Macaca mulatta: one gene and its partners. The protein of the gene in region 2 binds, or shares a complex with, the protein of the main gene of each other region. Links are inferred from orthologs where the notes say so. Each region holds a gene or a part of one and is shown on either strand. Other genes may lie near its edges. The genes, in order: PRKAB1, PRKAA2 and PRKAB2.

The links.
Region 1: the proteins of PRKAA2 (region 2) and PRKAB1 are in contact, whole or in part, in a crystal structure (PDB 8BIK), measured with the Homo sapiens proteins. The link is inferred for Macaca mulatta from reciprocal best matches to the Homo sapiens genes PRKAA2 and PRKAB1. Residues at the interface, in NP_006243.2 of Homo sapiens: Gly9, Val11, Lys12, Ile13, Thr21, Lys29, Lys31, Asn48, Arg49, Arg53, Asp56, Val58, Ile61, Lys62, Ile65, Gln66, Lys69, Val82, Ile83, Ser84, Thr85, Pro86, Thr87, Asp88, Phe89, Phe90, Met134, Met164, Ser165, Asp166; in NP_006244.2 of Homo sapiens: Pro79, Thr80, Val81, Arg83, Thr106, Ser108, Asn111, Val113, Ile115, Gln154, Val155, Asp159, Phe160, Glu161, Val162, Phe163, Ala165, Leu166, Asp169, Ser170, Lys172, Cys173, Pro186, Tyr187, His188, Gln189, Glu190, Pro191, Tyr192, Ala202.
Region 3: the proteins of PRKAA2 (region 2) and PRKAB2 are in contact, whole or in part, in a crystal structure (PDB 6B2E), measured with the Homo sapiens proteins. The link is inferred for Macaca mulatta from reciprocal best matches to the Homo sapiens genes PRKAA2 and PRKAB2. Residues at the interface, in NP_006243.2 of Homo sapiens: Gly9, Arg10, Val11, Lys12, Ile13, Thr21, Asn48, Arg49, Val58, Gln66, Gln81, Val82, Ile83, Ser84, Thr85, Pro86, Thr87, Asp88, Phe89, Met134, Met164, Ser165, Asp166, Gly167, Glu168, Phe169, Leu189, Ala191, Glu194, Pro253; in NP_005390.1 of Homo sapiens: Val60, Ser61, Gln64, Glu67, Asp68, Ser69, Thr73, Gln74, Ala76, Pro78, Thr79, Val80, Ile81, Arg82, Ile106, Ser108, Val113, Ile115, Val155, Ser158, Asp159, Phe160, Glu161, Phe163, Asp164, Lys167, Leu168, Gln191, Met193, Tyr194.

Annotation. Positions count from the first base shown.
Region 1 is NC_133416.1:126,946,170-126,950,838, reverse strand, and holds the start of PRKAB1 (5'-AMP-activated protein kinase subunit beta-1), read right to left. Parts: upstream 3,044-4,669; 5' UTR 2,754-3,043; coding exon 2,595-2,753; intron 1-2,594. UniProt on the Homo sapiens protein: Non-catalytic subunit of AMP-activated protein kinase (AMPK), an energy sensor protein kinase that plays a key role in regulating cellular energy metabolism.
Region 2 is NC_133406.1:183,919,811-183,924,379, reverse strand, and holds part of PRKAA2 (5'-AMP-activated protein kinase catalytic subunit alpha-2), read left to right. Parts: intron 1-1,084; coding exon 1,085-1,589; intron 1,590-3,206; coding exon 3,207-3,333; coding exon of another isoform or gene 3,334-3,389; exon of another isoform or gene 3,390-3,424; intron 3,425-4,557; coding exon 4,558-4,569. UniProt on the Homo sapiens protein: Catalytic subunit of AMP-activated protein kinase (AMPK), an energy sensor protein kinase that plays a key role in regulating cellular energy metabolism.
Region 3 is NC_133406.1:118,946,594-118,951,262, forward strand, and holds the start of PRKAB2 (5'-AMP-activated protein kinase subunit beta-2), read left to right. Parts: upstream 1-1,206; 5' UTR 1,207-1,342; intron 1,343-2,510; exon of another isoform or gene 2,511-2,556; intron 2,557-2,816; 5' UTR 2,817-2,839; coding exon 2,840-2,995; intron 2,996-4,669. UniProt on the Homo sapiens protein: Non-catalytic subunit of AMP-activated protein kinase (AMPK), an energy sensor protein kinase that plays a key role in regulating cellular energy metabolism.

The DNA of each region.
Region 1 (4,669 bases), on a different chromosome or scaffold from region 2:
GGGCGGTTTCCCCCATGCTGTTCTCTGACAGTGAGTGAATCTCATGAGAACTGATGGTTTTATAAGCGTCTGGCATTTCCCCTGCTTGCTCTCATTCTCTCTTCTGCTGCCCTGTGAAGAGGTGCCTTTTACCATGATTGTAAGTTTCCTAAGGCCTCCCCAGCTAGGCGGAACTGAGTCAATTAAACTTCTTTTCTTTATAAATTACCCAGTCTCGGGTATGTCTACATAGCAGCCTGAGAATAGACTAGCAGACTAGGTTTGTGTAAGTACACTCTACGATGTTCACACAATGATAAAATCACCTAATGATGTATTTCTCAGAACATGTCCCTGTCATTAAGTGATGTATGACTGTACATGAAAATTTAAGAGGAACAATTCTAGAGCTGTCAACCTGAAAATGGGCAAATTCAGATTTTGAGGATGGGGAAAAACTGCTCACAAAGTTCTGTCTAGGGACTGGGGAATAAAGCAAGACAAAGACTGAACCCTCATTAGGATAAAGGATAACCTCGTGTGGTAAGTTCCGTATAACTGAGGTATTCCAGAATAAGAAACTCATCCAACTCTACCTGGATGACATATGTAGTCATGCACCTTTTAGATTTTTTCCTAGTCAGGAGCCAAAGACTTAAAAAGAGCAGAGGGTTCTGGCTGGAAGACTCTTTAGGGAGTTAAGCAGGCTTCCAGCCCCTTCCTTTCAAATACCTCAGCTTATCCAAATGATGCCTGCATTCGCTGAATTCTAACAAGATCTACATATTAAATAACAGACTGGAATCACTTCACACTAAGAATAACTATACCCAAAATAGCGCACTAGTGTAATTAAAAGAATTCACGACTTTTTTGGTATCTGGGGATTTCAGTAACTTCTAATGAAGTGAGAATGGACGCTGCTTGAAATCATTCCCCATAGATTATGTGTGTGCTCAACATTTGCTGGAGGTGTTTTGGAATAGTAAAAGAACAAATACTTCTTGAAGAAAGTAGTTCTTTCTTTGGTGAAGAAAGACACCAAAGTAGTTTGATTCTTTTGGTGTCTTAAATAGCCTTCTTGGGACCAGGGACCAAAATTACTTCCTGGGGAAAGGACGTCATTAGAGAAACATGATTCTAAAGTTCACTTTGCACACAGCTCTTCAAGAATGCAACAAATTCAGAAAGCAAGTTCAAACCACAGGTTGCAGGCCCACATAAAAGCAGGCTTCTTGTAGTTAGGCTCAAAACAGATCCAAAAGAAGGTGTGAGATGTGATCACCTCGCTCAACATGAGGACAAACACAGATGGAATGAGTTGCCAGGCAATTAAATGGATGATGATTAACATGAAATTGGATACTAATAGGTATGTTGGGCAGAGGGCAGCTTTATCTTTCCCAAACCTACTTTGTTCCTTGAAACAATTAGTTCCTTTCGGACATAACACATAAATACCATTAAATGTCCTTGGACTGAACCCTGAGGCTGGAAATATCCACCATATGAAGGTGGTTAACAGGAGTGTGGCTGAAGCAGGAGTCAAATCACCTGAGCTTTTGATGAATTTAAACAGGCTGCAGCAGGAAGAAAAATGTTTGCACTGGCCTACTTCAGCGCGATTAAGTCATATTTAAACAACACTAGAGGGAAGTTCAGTGGCTGCTGGCTGCCTCCTTCCAACAGACCCTCATTACCCACTGACCTCTGTAAGTCCAAAGACTTTTCTATGTACGCTTTAAAAAAAAAAAAAAAAGCAGGGTGAGGCTGGGAGTGGTGGCTCATGCCTGTAATCCCAGCACTTTGAGCGGCCCACGCGGGCGGATCGCTTGAGGTCAGGAGTTCAAGACTAACCTGGGCAACATGGTGACACCCCACCTCTACCAAAAATACACAAAATTAGCCGGGCATGGTGGCTCACACCTGTAGTCCCAGCTACTCGGGAGGCTGAGGCAGGATGGCTTGAGCCCAGGAGACGAAGGTTGCAGTGCGCCGAGATTGTGGTTCTACCCTCCAGCCTGGGCAAGAGAGCGAGACTCTGTCTCAAAAAAAATTAAAAAAATAAATAAATAAATAAAAATAACTAGGGCGAATCAAGTGTTGGGCAGAACTAAACACCTCTGGCAACCGCCGTCAGCTGTTCCGCTCAACTTTCAGCTTGTATATGTACCTGGTTTGCCTCCAAAATGGATAATAAACTCCCAAACTAACTTTTACAAAAGTTCCAGTTTGTGTAAAGGTGAGAGAATTTGTCTCAAAGCGGTGAAATTAATTACACCTAAGAAAAGCAGAAGCTAGGTTCAATTACTGTTAGCTGACTCTGAATTAATTAAGAATTTGAAACTGTCCCAGAGCTGCTTTCTCCTTAATGCTGTTAAACGAAGTGAGTGCCTCCTCCCTCAGGGTGACTTTCTCATATTGGTAATTAGACTTAGGTTCTTGGACCGCTAAGAGGACTCTTACAGGACCATCTGGCTTTTAAGTGCACCGGGTAATGTACCACCTCCCTCCCCGTTCTGGTGGTTTTCGAAAAGATGTGACGGTAATCTAGTGGAGGGTTTCTCTCCTCAACATTAGTCAAGGGGAATCGGATTCCTGCACACTGCTCGCACCTTGATTTCCTCGGAGTGGAAGAGGTCGGCGTCTTCGGGGCTGTCCATCAGGATCTTGGGCCTGTCCCCGTCCTTGGTGCCCCCCGAGCTGTCCCTCCGGGGCGTCTTATGGCCACCATGCCGCTCCAGCGCGGCGCGCTCACTGCTCGTGTTGCCCATGATGAGGGTCTGCGGGGACACTGGGAAGCCGGACGGAGCCTCACTGCAGGAAAGGGACCCTGTGCAAGGGACTCCCAGAACCGCGGGTCCCAAGGAGCCTGCGGAAGGGAATCGGAGCACCGGGATACCACGCCCCTCGGGCTCGGGCCGGGAGCCGGTTCTAGCCGAGTCAGCAGCGTTGCCGAGTTCTCGCAATCGCGCTTTACCTGCCCAGGCAAGCTGTGGCGAGAACACAAGGAGCGCGAAAATAAACCGACACTTTCCCAACCGCTCCACCACCCCTCAGCGACTTCCGCTTCCGGCTACTCCTTAAGTCGGCCCGGCCTAGGGCGTGGTAGTGGCGGCGGCCGGCTAAACGCGCGAGGCTATCTAGATTCCATTTCCGCTTCCGGTCTTGAGCGGTGCGGTAACAGGTGCCCCGAGGCTGTCTCTGCAGGTCTCAGAGCGCGCAGTCGCAGTCGGCAGCCGGCCGCTCAGGGCCCGGCCCGGGACCAGGCGCTGCCGAGTGCCGGCAGGGGGCACCCCAGGGCGCCGGCAACCTGAGCCGTTCAAGCGCTGGGCTGAATAATGCCATTTAGATATATTTGCCCATTTTTAGTTGATTCTACACTCTACAGCCAGAGGGATCTTTCTAAAATGCAAATCTGATTCAGGAACTCCTCTTCTTAAAGCCCTTTTAGTGCACGTGCTCTCACGCTTTACAGTGCATTAGATTAACCTGGAGCGCTTGTTAAATGCAGCCCGCACTGCAGACCTGCAGAGAATCAAGATTTCTGAAGATTAGAGTCGGGGGTGCAGGCAGTCTTGCAGGTATTTGAGAAAATGGCAGACCATAAGATCTCTGGAAATTTTTTATGTCTAGTAGGTTGGGGGTTGTAAAATGCTGGAGTTATTAGTGTATTTTTATTGAGTGTGCAATCTTTTGATAGGTAATTTTGCAAGATATCTTGTAATCACTTCTGCAACATCCTTTTGCATAAGATGCATTAGCGTTTGTCATTTACTCTGGCCAGTGCTTCAACAAGAAGTGCATACAAATACGGTAGTAAAATATTCTCATCTTCTCACTGTCAGTCATTGTCATATTTTGTGGGTTTTATGGTGTGTGAATATCTCAAAATACTTTGCATTTGCCAGGTCAGGTCATGCATTTCACATACTGAACATTATTTAGTACCTAAAAAATTACCAGACATTGTGCTAAGGAAATGAGGAACACAAGATTACTAAGATAAGGTTTCTTGGAGAGAATTCGGCAGTATGCATCAAAATTAAAAAATGCACCTTCATTTTGACACACAATTTTACTCCTAGGAAACTTCTGCAGAAATACACACATGAAAATTATTTACAAGCATTATTTACAAAATATTTACATGCAAAAATATATTCTAAGATGCACCTGTCACCCACCATATCCCCATATATTTTAGTTTCTGAAATTGGATGCTTTTTACAATCAATGGAATCATAGACTTGGTGAAATAAGGAAATGAAAAACTACAAAATCCTAAAAGTTGTTCAGTAGAAGAATGGCAAAATGAACGGAATACATTCATTTTGTAGAATACCAAGCAACTTTTAAAAAGGAAGAAACAATTTTTCGGTCACTATGGGGAAGTGTCTATGATATTGCAAGGTCCAGGAGCAAGTGAGAGAACATGTTCAAGAGCGTGAGCTCTGAATTCAGCCTGCCCGGGTCAGATTCTGGCTTTACCATTTAGTAACTGTTACCTTAGTCTCTTTTGTGAAATGGGAATAAAAATAACACCTACTTTATAGGCTTGTTTTGTGAATTAATTGGAACGTGCATAAAAATGCTTAGCATAGCACTTGACTCTTAGTAAACACTCAATACCTGTTAGCACTTTTATTGGCACTATTAGGCTTGCAAATGGAAACTTCTGGAAGGGTAT
Region 2 (4,569 bases):
AGGATTTGCATATTTGTATATTTGTAACTATATTTTATGTATATTTGTTTAATCTCTATTCAGCTAAAATATAATCTTTGTGAGGAATGTTTCTTTTTATCCATAGTATGTCCTCAGTAAATATTCAAAAATAAATTAATCAGTGAATAGAAGACATTCAGTCAAAATATGTCTTCATCTGAACTTACGGGATGCCCAATTCTACCAGGTAGTAATGCCTGAACAATCTCGAAGGAGTAGTTTGTGTTAGATGAAAATAGTTTGATATTCTAGGATAACAATAGTAACATCAAGCGCAAAGGCCCAGAAGTGTGGGAAAATAAGGCTTAGGAGAGCAGTTCTCAAAATTTTTGATTTTAAAATCTTGTAACTCTTAAAACTTATTGAGGACCTCAAGGGGAATTTTTAAAAATGCAGGTTATATCTATCAATATTTACTGTATTAGAATTAAAACTGAGAAATTAAGAAAATATTTAATTTACTTAAAAATAACTATAAACCTACTACATGTTAAATAATACATCTTTCATGAAAAATCACCATATTTTCCAAAAAAAATTGTGAGAAGAATGACTTTATATCAAAGACAGCTAGGTTCTCATACCTTCTTCATTCAATCTGTTGCATTATTTTGTATTAGTTGAAGTGTATAAAGAAGGTCTGACCTCACTCAGATAAGTGGTTGGGAAAGAAAAAAAGTGTATTTATTATTATTAACACCAACTTTATCAGAAAGTCTTTAAGTATTGAGAAGCTGTGAAACTCATACAAATCATACTAAAGTTTTGCTTGAAAGCTTGAATTTTATCATTAGCAACAAATATTGCTGGTTGTTTTCCTTAAAGCGATGGGCTCGCTTTTTTCATTTTTGAGAAAATGTCGGCCAAATGCCAAGTCTTAATAACCATAGTTATTCAAGGGTAGTGGGTAATTAACTTGCTTAGGATCACATAGCTAGTAAGTGGCAGAGCTAGGTCTAGAGACCAGATCTTTTGATTATATTCTATTATGTTGCCCTATGTCTAAATTATTTGGACTTGCCAAAGCGTGTCTTACAATAGTGTATTGTGGTGTTTTTCCTAGAGAGCATGAATGGTTTAAACAAGATTTGCCCAGTTACTTATTTCCTGAAGACCCTTCCTATGATGCTAACGTCATTGATGATGAGGCTGTGAAAGAAGTGTGTGAAAAATTTGAATGTACAGAATCAGAAGTAATGAACAGTTTATATAGTGGTGACCCTCAAGACCAGCTTGCAGTGGCTTATCATCTTATCATTGACAATCGGAGAATAATGAACCAAGCCAGTGAGTTCTACCTCGCCTCTAGTCCTCCGTCTGGTTCTTTTATGGATGATAGTGCCATGCATATTCCCCCAGGCCTGAAGCCTCATCCAGAAAGGATGCCACCTCTTATAGCAGACAGCCCCAAGGCAAGATGTCCATTGGATGCACTGAATACGACTAAGCCCAAATCTTTAGCCGTGAAAAAAGCCAAGTGGCATCTTGGAATCCGAAGTCAGAGCAAACCATATGACATTATGGCTGAAGTTTACCGAGCTATGAAGCAGCTGGATTTTGAATGGAAGGTAGGAAATTATAATGTAATAAGATCATTTGTAGAAGTCATTTTTCTATATTGTAAGCTGCTCTGAGCTCCTGAGTTGAGTATTAAGCCCATCTTTTTCTAGTAATATGCCATGCACATTAAAAACAAAACAAATAACCTCTGTAAGGATGAAAAGTGGTTGATACTGGGAACCAACATATTTTGAATTATAGCAGTGTTCTTGGTCAAGAAAAAAAGGAATCAACTAGAAACCTTCTGAGAAAATAGCTTACCAGTTTCAGCATACATCATAGCAATGAAAAATCATGAGTGTCTTCAAAGATAGTATGTTTTTACTTTCTCTTTTTTTTAGGGAGGTTTTTTTTTTCTTTTCTTTTTAGGGAACAGAGGCAGGTGGTTGTAATAGCTAGTGGTCAGTACAAATTATATCAGGACATATTTATTCAGTCAATTAACACTTTTCTCCAAGTTGTGATATTCTCTCTTATTTGGCTAGTGCTTTTAATACTTATAGTATATTTTCCTTACTCTCACGCCACAGTTTGCTTTTCTTAAAAATTAGTGCTCAATTTCATTTCAGTTCTATTTGAATATATGTGTGGGGAGGGGCATTTTTTTCTTCGGATATGCCTTTCACTCTTGTTCTTTTCTTGAGGATTGTGAACTTTTAAAGGAAGAAGAAAAATGTGCAAAATTACCACATAAATATGCATTTGACATGTTCAAATAAATCAGTCATTTTCATTTTATTATCTGTACATGAAATAAATATTTTCTTAAAATCATTTAAAAAACAGATCTCTTTGTTTTGAAGCAGTCGTATTTAGTTAAAAAAGAAATGTTAACATTTTTAAAATTCTGTACTGAAACATTTTTGAAACTAGTACCACAGATGTTTTGAAAATCCAGAACCTTCAATGCAGTGTTTTTTTGTTTGTTTGTTTTGTTGTTGTTGTTTGTTTGTTTTTTTGAGACAGAGTCTCACTCTATTGCCCAGGCTGGAGTGCAGTGGTGCAGTCTTGGCTCACTGCAACCCAGGGTCAGGCTATCCTCTCACCTCAGCTTCCCTCGTAGCTGGGACTACAGGCGCCTGCCACCACACTCAGCTGATTTTTTTGGTATGCTTTTGTAGAGATGGGGTTTTACCATGTTGCCCAGGCCGGTCTCAAGCTCCTGGGCTCAGGCAGTCCACCCACTTTTGCCTCCCAAAGTGTTGGAATTACAGGCATGAGCCACCATGCCTGGTCCTCTTTGTTCCTTCTACTCCACAAGCATCCATGAACATGGTTCAAGCAGAGACTGGGCAACCAAATTATAATTGATGTTTTAGAGTTGATGCTTATCTAGAGTGAAAGCTAGACCCGATGTAATCTCTGGGTTCTCTTTTTCTTTTATATTTCACTTTTTTCTTCAGTACCCCAAATTTATTCAAGTAGCTTTTCCTTTAAATCTTAATTGCCATACAATACTGCTAGTGGGGATTAAATAAATACTGAAGTAAACTACCAGTAATATAAAAAAATTATTCAGATATTCCTTTCCTATCTCACCCCTATTAATTACTTATTTTGACCTTTTTTTGCATAAAAAGGGAGATATTTTGTAGTTGATTATTTTTATTGATTTTTCACTTTAGGTAGTGAATGCATACCATCTTCGTGTAAGAAGAAAAAATCCAGTGACTGGCAATTACGTGAAAATGAGCTTACAACTTTACCTGGTTGATAACAGGAGCTATCTTTTGGACTTTAAAAGCATTGATGGTAAGGAAGCTATGCATTGCATGAGCTCTGAGAAGATAAAACTTGGCACTAGTTGACCAGATGTTAAAATCATCTCGAAGACATCCGGTGGGTAGGTCATGCACTGGTTTTTAAGTAATCTTAGACTTAACCAAAATGTAAGTGAAGTGAAAAGGATGAAAGACATGTTGAATACCTCTTACCTGGCATCTTTCCACAAGAAGTATCTCCGTGGCATAAAAGAATCATTTGAAGTATTGGCCATGGAGCACAAGTAAGGAACAATAGGGAAGTAGGTTTCACTTTTTAAAATTAACTGATTTGTCAGATTCTTTGTCACATTTCTCCATTCATATTTTATTAGTTAGTATTGTAGTGTCTAAACTTTCCCCTTCATCACCTTTCCTCATCCTGGGTGGCCAGGGTGACCAAATAGGTCTCCATTGGGATTTGGGTTGGATTTAGGTACTCATGGCAATCAAGGAGCCAGAGGCATCAGGGAAAATTGTCATGTCCAAGAACTTAGTGTGTGCTAAGAATTAAACTTGGGTAAACCAAATCTGATTATTCATTTCAGAGGCCCAAGTGGGATAAAACCAGAATAAACTGAGGGTCAGGTGCTGGATGGAACAAAAATGGAACTGAGTTTAGAGTTAGGGAAGTTGTTTTAAACAAAGTATTTAAATTTTACTCTTGAACTACCATCAAATATGTACGGTAGTGTTTATATGGATCCCAGACCTCTTTCATCGAAATTACATGTTGTTATTAAAACACAGATCCCTGTGTTTTGGTCCTGGGAATCGTAGAATCTGCAGTTTTAACAAGATTTCTCTCACTTTGCCCCCCACTTCCCCAAGGCAATATATGATGGTAACTTTTATTTTTACCTTAATGATTTTTTTTGTTGATATGCTAGAAGAAAATAAGTTGTCAAGGATACGCTTTCTTCACATGAAGAGATATCAGTTTGATTGATGCCAGTATCAATGCCCAATACTCCGATTTGAGAAGGACTTAGAGGCCACATTTTGGCTGTGTGCACGTGTTGTGATTGGTAGCGATGTTTGTTATGATTGTTGGAAGGAAGAGAACTGTGCTTCTAAAACACTGAAACATGACATTCATTATTAAGTTGCCTTTGCTCAGATGTGTTTACTTAATATTCTGAATATCATAAATTCATAGGAAGGGCTTGGGCATATATACTTTTCATATAAATTGCTCTTCTTTGGTCCATTTCAGATGAAGTAGTGG
Region 3 (4,669 bases), about 65 Mb from region 2:
GCGCGGTTGTGGGCGCCTGTAGTCCCAGCTACTCGGGAGGCTGAGGCAGGAGAATGGCGTGAACCCGGGAGGCGGAGCTTACAGTGAGCCGAGATCGCGCCACTGCACTCCAGCCTGGGCTGGGCGACAGAGGGAGACTCCGTCTCAAAAAAAAAAAAAAAAAAAGAAAGAAGAGCATTGGGGTGACAGCAATAAATCTAAAGGGAACAATTATACTGATACTGGTTAAGAAGATCTTGTATCTTTACCTACTTATTCCTGAATCTAAGAAAAAAAAAGGAATTTGGGACTAAGGAGAATTCATTCTTCCTACAGTGTCATATTACATTTGTTCTGTGTCTAAAACATGCAATATTCAAAATTGACTTTTATTATTAACTGTTGAGTAACTTACAAATGTTGTTAGAGCAGAGCAGGGCAGAACAGTGTCATGGATAATCTTCCAAAGGAGATAATACAAAAGTCATTTCCATTTAGCTGTGTAAAAACAGTTTATTTCTCTCCTTCAGTTTTCCATTGGCTAACATAGTTAGTTTGTTTCTGCTAAGCTGATTTCACTACTGCAAGGAAATACATACCAAGGACATATTATTTGGCATGGTGAAACCACCTTGGGGTCAGAAAACTGAATACTACACAAGTCAAGGTTTAATGTATCACACCTTGAAGGGCCTTGCTTCAGTGTCCTATGGTAAGGAATTGAGGGGTGGAGGGAGAAAGGTAGGGATAACCAAAAAGAATGTACTCAGACAGTAAAGATTTCAGAGGGGTGAGCAAGAAGTTGCAGTAAAATCGTACCTTTTTTTTTTCCTTCCTGTAAACTGTCTTCGGTTTATGAGCCAAAGAATGAGTTTATAAGGGGCAGAGCAAAGAATGGGGGAGTAGTGAATTTGTTGTACTTAAGTGGGCTGTCAACTTCATAATATAAAAATGAACTTTTCAACAAATAGAGCTGCTCACTCAGAAAGGGTGGCCTATGTAACTTGGGGTTCTCCATCATTGGCCGTGTTTAAGCCTAAGTGGCATATCTTGATAGAAATGGATTACAGTAAACAGTATTCCTGTATCCTTCATTCCGCAAATACAAAAGCCTGCTCTGTACAAGGTACATGCAGAATATGAAAAGGTATCAAATCTGGATCTGCTCTCTGCCAGCTGTCAAAGCATTGCTTCTCACACACGTTAATGTGATCTTGTTAAAATGCAGATTCTGAACCCTGGGGATGGGGCCTGATTCTACATTTCTAACAGGCTCCCAGGTGATGCCAACGCTGCTGGTCTGTGTAACACAGATAAACGTTTCTAGTAGAGAAGGCGACATGCAAATACTTCTAATACAAAGGTAAGTACCTTAGGGATTCCACTAATTTTCATAAAAAACCTGGATCCCTCCCAACCCTACGACTGTCTTTGCCTTTTTTATACCTTTAGGGTTCCTTCTGATGTTTTCGTTGTCGCCATCTTCCTTGAATTTTATTTCTTCTGAGGTTTCTCACTGCATATGCTGTTTCTTAGACTAGGAAAGCCTTTTCGTTATTCTCCTAAGACTAACATTTTACTAATTTGTCAAGGTCTAGCTCCTAAATACGCCATCTTGAATTTTCCCTGCGACCCCAGTCGGGCTGACAGCTCCTTCCTTGTCGCTCCCTATTGAGCAGGTTTTTCTTGTGGGGGGGGGGCGGGGAGGCGGAGGGACGGAGTGTCGCTCGGTCGCCAGGCTGGAGTGCAGTGGCGCGATCTCGGCTCACTGCAACCTCCACCTCCCGGGTTCAAGCTATTCTCCTGCCTCATCCTCCCCAGTAGCTGAGACTTCCGGCGCGCGCCACCACGCCCAGCTAATTTTTGTACTTTTAGTAGAGACCAGGTTTCAACTTGTTGGCCAGGATGGTCTTGATCTCCTGATCTCGTGATCCGCTCGCCTAGGCCTCCCAAAGTGCCGGGATTACAGGCGTGAGCCACCGCGCCCGGCCAGAACAGTTTTAACCTCCAGCAATGGCCATTGCTTCCTTCTGCCTGCAGTTGGAAGTCAGTTTCAGTTTTCTTATTCCCTGTAAGGAACCCCCCTCTCCCGTCGCCTAACACACAGATGCTGCCCAGAAAACGTGCTGGCGCACCTGAGGCGGGGTAGAAAGCCGCGTCGCTTCTCCCGGCACCGAGCGCCGGAGCCCAGGGAGGCGGCCTCCGAGTGTCCTGTGGGAACGTCCCTTCCGCCGGGTAGTCTCAGAGGCCCAGCGCTCCAATTATCCCGGGTGCAGTCTCCCCAGGCGGCACAAGCCCTGCCTGGCGCCCCCTCCTGGCGCTGGAGGCTGCGTGCGACTGCCCACCATCGAGGCGGCGGCGGCTAGAGAGGCCGGCGGGCCCGGGACGCCGAGGCTGCAGGCCGCAGGGAACGCGCACGGGGCCGACTCCGCGCCGCCGGCCTTGTAGCCATTTTAGGAGGAATCGCTGATCGCCAGCGAGGGGTGCGGCTTCAATTTCAATAACTTTATTGGTGGCCTGATCTGCAGAACAGTCATCACTTCAGTGGTCCCTGGAGGAGGGAGCGCATCGCCCGAGGTGACTGGCGTGGGGGCGCCCCTGGCAGTGAGCGCGGGGACGCGGGGGAGTCCCGATAGCGGGTTTCCTGACTAGGGGCAGCGAGGGCACCGGGGTATTTGCAGGCATTCCCGCAGGCCAGGAGGGAGAAGGCTCCGGGGCTTGGCCTCCCTGGGGCGGGGAAATCCCTTGCCCCGTCCCAAGGCGTATGGGCGGGGCCGGGGGGCGCCCCTGACGCGGCTACTGAGGTGTTCCCAGCCCGGTGTGGTTCTCCGCGGTAGGTGGTCCCCGACGAGCTGCAGCCATGGGAAACACCACCAGCGACCGGGTGTCCGGGGAGCGCCACGGTGCCAAGGCTGCACGCTCCGAGGGCGCAGGCGGTCATGCCCCGGGGAAGGAGCACAAGATCATGGTGGGCAGTACGGACGACCCCAGCGTGTTCAGCCTCCCCGACTCCAAGGTAAGCGTCCCACGCCCGCAGTTGGTGGCAGTACTGCAGCGGGTTGATTTCCGGGCTCCTCTTCCCTTTCTTGGTTCTTTTCTGCCGCGCCGAACCGGGCTATGGTTTTTTGAATTAAAAGGATTTTTCGGGGACAGAGGTGTTGGATGGTAATCCCTCTTGCAGTGCCGCCTCAAAATAGGATAAAGAGGCGGAGTTCTTGTTTTCCTGGTGTTCTGACTAATCTGTTGGCCACATTTTTAGGATGGGGACAATAGACATCCCCGATCCTTGGTTCTTCCTAACATGCACGAGTGGCTCTCCTCTATAGCGTTGCTGAATTTGTAGTTTGTTAGCCCTGGTGGACAACTTCAGAGGGTAGGTTGCACGAGTTGCTGACCATAGGTGGTAGTTTCTCACCTTTGCCCTGAGGTGGCTACATGAAATTCTTTTTCTGAAAATTTCTATGTATCAGTATCATTTTTGCCCTTCTAGCAGCTCTGCACTTGTGATCTTCTTCCCTTTTGGCACGGCTGTAAGCAGCAACTACTTGCTTATTGAATACTTTCCCCTAGTCTTGGGGATCAATTAAGGACATCATTTGGTTGACTGCTTAATTTTTGTCCCATACTTTATAGTTGTGGTGGCTGAGGCTGTGCCTCTTTCACGCCCCGCTGCTGCTCCGCAGGTGGAAGAGCCAATGATTCCACGACTTGTTTACTCTCCAGTAGTACTTCAAAATGTTGCGTGGCTAAAAAGCGACAATCCATAGCTGCCTTGAAGACCTTGCTCTCAATTCCAAGGACTTTCAGGAAGAGCCAACTTGTTTTTTCACTCTGTAAGAAAGGACAGATGGAGCTGATAGCAGCGATTACCATTCTAATGTTTCTAATCGCTTTTAGAGCTGTCAGCATGAAATACATGTAGTTTCTCCAGGTAGACTGACTGGATGAGATAGAAAAATGGAGGGCTTGAGGAGATTGGGGTGTGTTTGATGTTTCCTATCATTTCGTCACTTCCCAGGGAACTGGGGCTTTAGAGAGTGAATAGAGTATTATTTGTCATATTGGTAGCACGTGGAATTTGGATTCCATGATTTATTTCCTTGGATCTCAATTGATAACATCGTCACAGCCGGGCGCGGTGGATCACGCCTGTAATCACAGCACTTTGGGAGGCCGAGGCCGTTGGATCATTTGAGGTCAGGAGTTCGAGACCAGCTTGACCAACATGGTGAAACCCGGTCTCTACTAAAAATACAAAAAAATTAGCTGGGCGTGGTGGTGCATGCCTGTAGTCCCAGCTACTCGGGAGGCTGAGGCAGGAGAATCGCTTGAACCTGGGAGGTGGTGGCTGCAGTGAGTGGAGATCCAGTCACTGCACTCCAGCCTGGGCCACAGAGTGAGACTGTCTCAAAAGAAAAAAAAAAAAAAAAAAAACCATAATCACAGAGAAGTGAGAGTGATTAAAAGGAGCACTTATTGGTGTTTATTCTCCATTCTTATTTGGGCTATCTACAAGCCATCTGAATTTACTTATTCAAAGCTTTCGAAAGATGATCTGCCTCATTATATTTTTACCCTTTTCCTACGCTGATGACTCAGGATTTAAATACAGTGTATTTGTTGAACTGTGACTGCAGTAATTGGTGTCCTGATTAAAAGCCAGGTTGCTCTGTCTGAACTGGGGCCTATT